Xenopus tropicalis: one gene and its partner. The protein of the gene in region 1 purifies or fractionates together with the protein of each later gene. This does not show direct contact. Links are inferred from orthologs where the notes say so. Each region holds a gene or a part of one and is shown on either strand. Other genes may lie near its edges.

Evidence for each region.
Region 2: the proteins of cops5 (region 1) and btbd1 purify together in Homo sapiens (affinity purification with mass spectrometry; 3 studies listed by BioGRID and IntAct, counting the BioPlex papers as one, with this or other methods). This does not show direct contact. The link is inferred for Xenopus tropicalis from reciprocal best matches to the Homo sapiens genes COPS5 and BTBD1.

What each region holds. Positions count from the first base shown.
Region 1 is NC_030682.2:119,216,904-119,221,083, forward strand, and holds the start of cops5 (COP9 signalosome complex subunit 5), read right to left. Parts: upstream 2,850-4,180; 5' UTR 2,841-2,849; coding exon 2,698-2,840; intron 712-2,697; coding exon 477-711; intron 1-476. UniProt on the Homo sapiens protein: Probable protease subunit of the COP9 signalosome complex (CSN), a complex involved in various cellular and developmental processes.
Region 2 is NC_030679.2:105,452,009-105,456,253, forward strand, and holds the start of btbd1 (BTB/POZ domain-containing protein 1), read right to left. Parts: upstream 2,876-4,245; 5' UTR 2,700-2,875; intron 1-2,699.

The DNA.
Region 1 (4,180 bases):
AGAATGATGTTTCTACTGAATGAAAAAGAAAAACCATACAAGTGCAGGCCTAGTGTCATAAGAAAACAGCTTTTCTGTCTCAAACTGTGAAAATTGAGGATTTAAATGTTCACCAGTGCTAATTCCACAATGAAATATGGTTAAATGTGAACAGTCTGCCACAATTAGAAAAAAGAAAAAGTGAATCCTAGCTGCTGTGTATACGGACAGCCTATCTGGGCAAGCATATCCTCCTCAAGGAAAACTGCAACTTTGTAATTAGAATACACATATATAATTGTTAATGTTAAATGAATGTTAAAGCTTAAATAAGTATTGTCCTACTTGTATTGCACATTATTACTGTCTTTATACACTGTATTCACTGTGTAAGCATGTTATGCAGTAGAGATGACAATTAAGGAAATGAACTGAGAGAAGAGAAAACTATCTTTTCCTTTTAAATGGTATAATTTTTAAGCCAGGATGCAAGGTACCTGCTTTGCATTTTCAATATATGCAGCCATGTATTCATAAGCAGCAGCCTGAGCATTGACTCTGGTTTCAGTTCCTTCAACTGGTAAAGCAAAACTGTCCATAATGATCATAGTCTCCCCGTCCACTTTTCCAAGCATGAGGCCCATCACCTCAAGGTTCCCTCCTGATCTGGCGTGCATGACCATCTTCAGCAGGGCTAGGGCAGACACTTTGCAGTACTTGAAGTAATGATGGCTGTAAACAAGAAGAAGTAAACTTACCCAGGGCATAATTTCATGTGAACAACAGAAAGGCAGCCTCTTTTCTTGCTAATCAATAGCAAGTCAGTTCCCTTTAATAGCCAAGCAGTGTTTGCTTTGGTTAGAACAATGCAGCTCACCATTATCTCACCAATCTGCACATCACATAGCTTTAACAAAAGTGCATTTTATAAAGGCTAACCGAATATACCTATTGAATGTGTATGAGGCAGCTATGATCTCTCTGCAGCACTTAGGACAATGAAAGACAAGGAGTTTAGACAACTGCCTTGCCACTGGTGAAAATATAAATCACCGGTGGGAAAACATAAGCGATGCTACAGCTTTCCATAGTCAGAAGTTTCTTTGCAGGGCAACTTCGCATAATTTTGGAAAGCCAAAGCAACGCATATGTTTTTCCACCGGCAATTTACATTATCGCCAGTTGGAAGGCATTTGGAGATGATCAGTTGCCCATGGTAGAGGAGATTTATAATGGGCAACTAATCTCATGTGTCAGGGCCCTGTTGCATGAAAGATCAGTAAAAGGGCAATCTAGTCAGTGTATCTTATGTCCGATACCTGTACCTTGTACTTGATCCCAACTAAGATATAATTTATCCTTATTGGAGCCAAAACAATCCTATTGGGTTTAATTACTGTTTACATATTTGTTTTAGAAGATTAAAGGTAGGAGATCCAAATTATGGAAAGACCCCTTATCAGGAAAACCCCAGGTCCCAAGTTTTCTGGATAAACATACACACATTAATTGGACTGGAGACAAGGAACCTTTCTTTCCTCTGTAATATTCAAATCCCCCCATAATTAATACAAGCTAATAAAAGAATTACAGAGGAAAAAGTTTTTGGGTCTACAGATTCCAAACCCTGTCACTGCTATACAATGCAGTATATTACCTTTGTTTTTATAATTGTGATAATTTGTACATAGATAGATAGGCTAGATAAAGAGCACTGCACGCTCAAGTTTATTGAAAAAATGTTTGGAATACCAACAGTATTCTTCAGGGACAAACCAACAGACTGAATACCCACACACATTTTAAATAACATCCCACAAAAAATGGCGCCAAAAAGTGATCATAGTAACCATAAAAAACACTGTAAACCAACAACATGGAGAACAGAAGCAGAAAGAAGCAAAGAAACAGAAAATAAAGTGAAAATAAGTTAAATTATAGCGTTACAAGTATGTATAAATGGTTAATGAAAAAATGTTACAAGATGTGTCTTAACATTAAAGTTGATAAGATATGAGACATAACAGGGACAAACTAAGCAACAACAGCAGGACTCACCAAGGTTAGGGAGAACAGTATTGAATACACTTGTATCGAATAAACTTCTAAAGGCCAGTCATATGCATCTAAAACACTCCGTAACAATGTGTTACAGCCACAAGTCAATCCTGACCGACCGTCAGCTTCTTCATGTAAAGTCACATGCCCCTGAGCGAATATGGCCTGTAGATATGCAGCTGAGCATATCTATAGAGCTTGGTGGTCAAGCAACTGGGGCTTTATCAGCAGCTTGTAATAACTAGTTTACTTATAGTAATAACTAGTATTGAAACCACCTGGCTGCCAGAGATGTCTGGGAATTGTAGTTCAAGTAGAGTACTTTCAAGTTTTTCACAATGCTAAAGGGTATATTTATCATGCTGTGTAAAAAGTGGAGTAAAACATTACCTGTGATATTGCTCATAGCAGCCAATAACATGCTTTGCTTTAGTTTTCTAATTGTTGAAATCTAACTGCTGATTGGTTGCCCTGAGCAACATCATCAGTAATGCTCTCCACTTTTTACAAAGCATGATAAATATACCCCTCAATATTGGTATATTTCACTTCAGACCATCCAATTGTTAGCGATCTACAACTTTCAAATCCCCTGGATGTCATGCATTCTGTCTCTCCTATCCCAAACAACCCCCGTCCTTCTCAATTCCCATTTCTTACTCCTTTGTCCATGGTTTGGCTGCTAGGATCTCCTGCTGCTGCTTCTTATCGTATTTATAGATCTCATCGATGCTCTGCACCTCCTGCATGTTATTGGAGAGCTCCCATGTCTTCTGGGCCACGCTGCTCCCAGCCATGGCCATGGCCTCTTCAAAGTCCGCCAGCCTTACAGCTTACACCGGCTCACAAATACACAACGTCGCCTCACACTGCGCACATCCGGAAGTCTAGCCTTGCCTCCGCCCTCCGCCAGGCGCAGTCACAGTGTGGGAAGCTGCAGGTTCCAGAATTATAACTTAGAAAACTCTCCTGGTTCTGGGATTGATTTCATTTCGGCTTCATTATTCTGTTACATTACAGAAAACAGGAAAGCATAACACACATCGGTCATATAAAAACAATACATTTTTTTGGTGGGGGTAAGACTTACAACATCACCCTCCTGTTTTCTACAAATGGTATCGTCTGCTTGAAAGTCATTAACAGTGACGTCTTTCAGTATTTTATTAACCCCATCTAGCGATAGACAGTGGTATGGGGGGCTTGGATTGAAGATGGGATTAATAAATGGGTTCAGAGCAAGAAATGGATCCCAGTGCTGTTTTATGTGGGTTTCCGTTTAAACTGTAACCAATAGGTTATTGATGCAACAATGGCTGCAGTTAGGAAGTAGCTAAACAATCATGAACTGCAGTAAAATAGCAGGTCTTAGGCAACTGGGTCAGCATATAAGTACCTACAGTGTTATGAATAGAATGCGTTACCTGTGGGTTTTTTTGGCATGTAGTGCAGCAAAAAAAGGATGAAAACTAGGCAAATTTATATCTTGTACTAAATTCTTATGCCTTAACCCTTTCACTTCCAGACGATTGGGTCAAAGCGGAACTTTCACTTTAGGGGCCTTTCCTCGGGGGGACTTTTAGTTTACCCAGAAAAACAATATATCATTTTTTCAGGACAATTTAAGCTTTCAAAATATGGTAGAATTCCAATTCTGTAACAAGATATAGGCTTCTAAATGTCTAAAAAAATTATTTTATGCACGAAAATACAACTGATTTGGAAAGCCCCATGTCTCCTGAATGTGCCAATACCAAATATACATAGTTTTATGGAGATTTCTCACTTGTATAGGTCAAAAACTACAAGCAGTACACTACCAAAATTCCAAAGCACTGGTTCAGAAAGCTGCATACTTCAGGTTTCAAGGCCAAAGATTGCAGTAACAGAGGGTTTATCCCAGAAATCATACATTTTTGGAAACAGATTCTGGGGAATCCAGAATACGCACAACTGTCTGTCTACTCCAAACTACCAAGTTTCCTAAAGTTACTGATTTTTATCAAAATTTGTAAAATTTAAAAAAAATAGCTTCAAAGCTTCCAGTCTATAGTATCTTATCTCCTGCAGGTCATAAAGTAACCAAATTAAACATCCTAAATTTGAACGCCAGGGGTCCACTGAATAGTTTGACACCCAATAT
Region 2 (4,245 bases), on another chromosome or scaffold:
GTGCATGGTGAGGGTGGAAGTCTATTATTATTATTGCAGTCACACAACTTGGATTGCTGAGTTTTAAGCCTGTATTGTATTCCTGATGTTAAATAGGAGATATGACTTTTTTGCATAAAAACACTGCATTTACGCTTAATATCCGTTGGAACAAATAATTCACTTACCATGATTTCTTACTTTTCACGTGACAGTCTTCACTTTAATCTACTGTTTTGTATTTCTTATTGTAATCCTTGGGCATCATAAGAATCTCCACTGTATTCTACATATTTTTTGTAGAAAATAACATTTTATTTTGTATTCCTGCAGTTAGGGTAATTTTGCTTTTCATGGCCCTGTTAGGCTGTGCATTGTAATTCTATGTAAAAGCTCTGATTTGTATTCCTGGGGTATTAATCTCTAGATTATATTCCTTTCATGGATTCATGATATTTTCAGGTCAGTATCGAATTCCTAGTATACCCTACTTAGGAAGCTCTGTATTGTAATCCAGTGGGTTCTAATGTTATACTTTGTATTCCTGGGAAATAGGCAGACTTTCTGTATTCCTAAAAAGTATGGAATTTGCACTGTATTTCTGGCATAATAGTAATAAATATGATACCATGATTTATTCCTTGCACTGTTATCCTGTTGGATACGACTTTGTATATCCACAAATTAGTTTTGTTTTCCACATACTCGTAGATATGCTCTGTATTTCATGGACAACACAACTTTCCACCTTGTACTCCTGCAATTAGAATTGTTTTGTACTCCATAGCCCTGGAAGGTTGCACATTATATTTCTGGGCTAGTAGGGACACTGCATTGTATTCCTTGCCTGAGTTGCACTGTATTCCTGGGACATAGGTTGATATACTGTATTCCTAAGAAGTATGGGTTTAGCACTGTATTCCTGGCATAATAGAAATCCATATGATACTTGCCATGATTTCTTATCTTCAGGACATGGTCATTTGCTCCATTCTTGAGATTAAAAATCGATGTATTCCAGAAATTGAATAAATTGCATATTGCATCTATGATGTATTATTATATGTATTGTATTCCTTGGGCAAAATTACATTCCATTTGGTGTACCTGTAGCAAAAGGTGCATGTAATTTCAGTAATTTTCCACTCCATCTTGTAATCCTCCTGTTGTTTTCCTCCATGTACCAACACTCAGACAAAAGCTGTAGTTTTCAGTGCAGATACCCGGATATACAAAAGAGAAGGGATTTGCTTCTCTCCACCTGCCTAAAAAGTATAGAGGAGCGGAGCCAGTTCTCTGTGTGGCCTTGCGAAATGGGGTATATCATTCCTTGAGCCTGGAAACTTTAATATATTTATTATTACTCTTTTTGCAGTATAACTATGTTGATAATTGTAATATTGCTTTTGTAGCATTATAGTTGTAAACTGACTCAGGCAACAGTAACAGCAACAGACATATATAATATTACAGACAAAACCACGTAAACATTTGTAATCCATTTGTAATCCATTTGTAATCCATTTGTAATCCATTTGTAATCTTTATTCTCAATAAACAATGATTCCTTAATGTCTTAATTTCACAACCCCTCTGGGTTACTTATATACGTATCTTGAAAAAATAAAGATAAAAATGATATAATAAAAAGTGTGTATGTGCATGTGCGGGGGGCTCTGAGGAACAGAAAATGTAGAGACTGTTAGCTAGAAAATTGTTTCAAGGTCATCTAAAACTTGTTGCAATATTTTAACCATTTCTATAAAAAAGATGAAGACAAAGTTAATCTGTACAGCCTACAGGTGTAACAATGGTTATCTATGGTTATGTTGAACTTCTCTAATATCTAAAGATCTCCTTACCAGAATCTGACACATTTCTGCTAGTAGCTCAATTGCATTTTTCACTTTTGCTGGCTAAACTGGTTAACAGGCTGCAAAATCCTGTGCTGGAGAGATGAGCAGTGCTGTGTCAGGACTTATCTGCCTTGTCTCTGTAAGAGCTGCAGCTGCCTGGCATTGTAATATCATGAGACTCAATGCTAACGGATTCAACCAATTTGAAAAGCAGGGGTGTGCTGTTAGAGATTTCAGTTGCAACTGAAATCAGTACTCAGTCACCTGACTATATTTCTGTTACTGCTAATGTTTTATGTACATTTGTTATGGTCTAAAATATTTACCATTCTTCTAAACATTAAAAAGCAGGCTAAACTATCACTTGGTGTACTGTCAGAAAGAGAATGAATAGTTGTTTAAAAAAAATGCACATATATATATTTATATATCTGTAGTAGGACATAAGCAACATTTTTTGTTCAGTTCAACATGTGGAGTGTGTGAGCTTAGTTTCCATTGCTTTATAGGTATTATTCTGCTAAGTTTCTGATGATCTTTTTACCATTATTTTAAAAGTAAGAAATAGCTTAGTGGCAGATACAAGCTCTCTTTCCCTAGTCCTCTTTGCTATATATCAGAAATGCAAGCAATTAGCATTCAGCAGAAAGTTAGATAAGAAAAGCTGGGGTCTATTAGCCTGAAAATGAGCCCACTGGTTATTAGGATACTAACAGTCCAACTCAAATTGAAGTCAATACTGAGCTGTATATCTGATTGCTATTTATCTGCTAATGCATTACATGTTATAGTGTCAAAGATTTGACAGTGCTTTTAGACTAATTTCAATCTAGGCTACAATGATTGCTAACATTAAAAACCAACCTTTATTGGAGCTCCCATCGATCCTCTCTGCTGCACTGTCCATGAGTGGTGAGCACTAACGGTCCTAACGGTCTAAACTGTCATTAACTGTCACTTGGCTTATTTGATGTACTGTCAGAGAGTTTTTATTGGAGCTCCCACAGATCCTCTCTGATCCACTGCCTTTCTCAAATAAGTAGTTGGCATGTTCTAACACTTCCTGCACAGAAGCGCAGTAGGATGTGGTCAGCCAATCACAGCTCTGCTTTCATCCAGGGAAAGAGAGTACAGTTCCCTGCTGAGTGACTCTACCTGCAGATCTGCTGGCATTCTACAGTGCAAGCTGCTGAGAGCTGCTGGCCATCATCCATGACTTGATACAGGGTCAGACTGAGCTGCCGGGGCACCAGGAAAAAACCCGGTGGGCCCCACCGTCCCAGACCTAATCCCTGGAGCACCAGTCGGCTGCTGTTCTCCTTCCCCTGGCGCACCTGAAAGTAACTATACTGTACATGCTCTCAGGGGAGGAGGTTGGGAGGTGCAGGGGCCCCTGGGGTGCTGCCCTGGTGGGCCCTGCACCCCCTAGTCTGATCCTGGCTTGCAATGAGAAATACAGTATTTGTTCTTGGAAATATTTGTTCTTGACAACACTTTACCATTAATCTACTCTTCAGTCTATTGCATATCTTTTCATTCAGAATAAAAGCTTTCCTTTTCTCACAGCTGAACACATGCCTGAATGACAAAACTTAAATGATCTGTAAATAAAGTAGCAATGAAACCTGGTTTTTGTTATATAATCTTTTATTTTACCATTTTTATTTAATGTATTTTTCTTTCAAGCATGTTTCTTAAATGGCAGGGTTTGGCTTGCCTGGAGACCAAAGAAGGAAGGAAGGAAGGAAGGAAATGGCTTAGGAGTCAGTGGGATTTGGAAGAATTTGGCTCAAGTTAAAGTTTTGTCTTTTTTCCATTATAAACCTGGAATAAGAAACAAACAGATTTAGGTACAACTGGATTTAGTCGCAGATGCAAACCTGCACCTGTGCAGTAACCCATAGCCCTGAAGTAGCTGTTAGTTTACAAATTAGGCATGGGAAACCTCTCTCTCTTAGCATCCCAAATACAGTCTTCTGCTGTCAGTAAGATGCTGGGGGTTGTCATGTAACACCATCCTTTGGTCATTTTTGAATTGCATTTAGTCTTTACATCCTAACTGCAAAAAGCTGATGTGAACTAATTGTGAATTAATTCCTCCATGGTTGGTATGGTTTGCACTAGTGCAATTTCCACTTAAATGCTATCCACTTAAATCTATCTATCTATCTATCTATCTATCTATCTATCATCTATCTATCTATCTATCTATCTATCTATCTATCTATCTATCTATCTATATGTCTATGTATCTTTCTGTCTATATGTCTGTCTGTCTTTATGTCTATCTATCTATCTATCTATCTATCTAGTATATTTTAAATTGTACATTGGGTGCTTATTGTGTGCTGGGTGAGTATTTAACATCAAAACAATAGTTATTGTTTTTGTTATTGTATTATTACAGTCC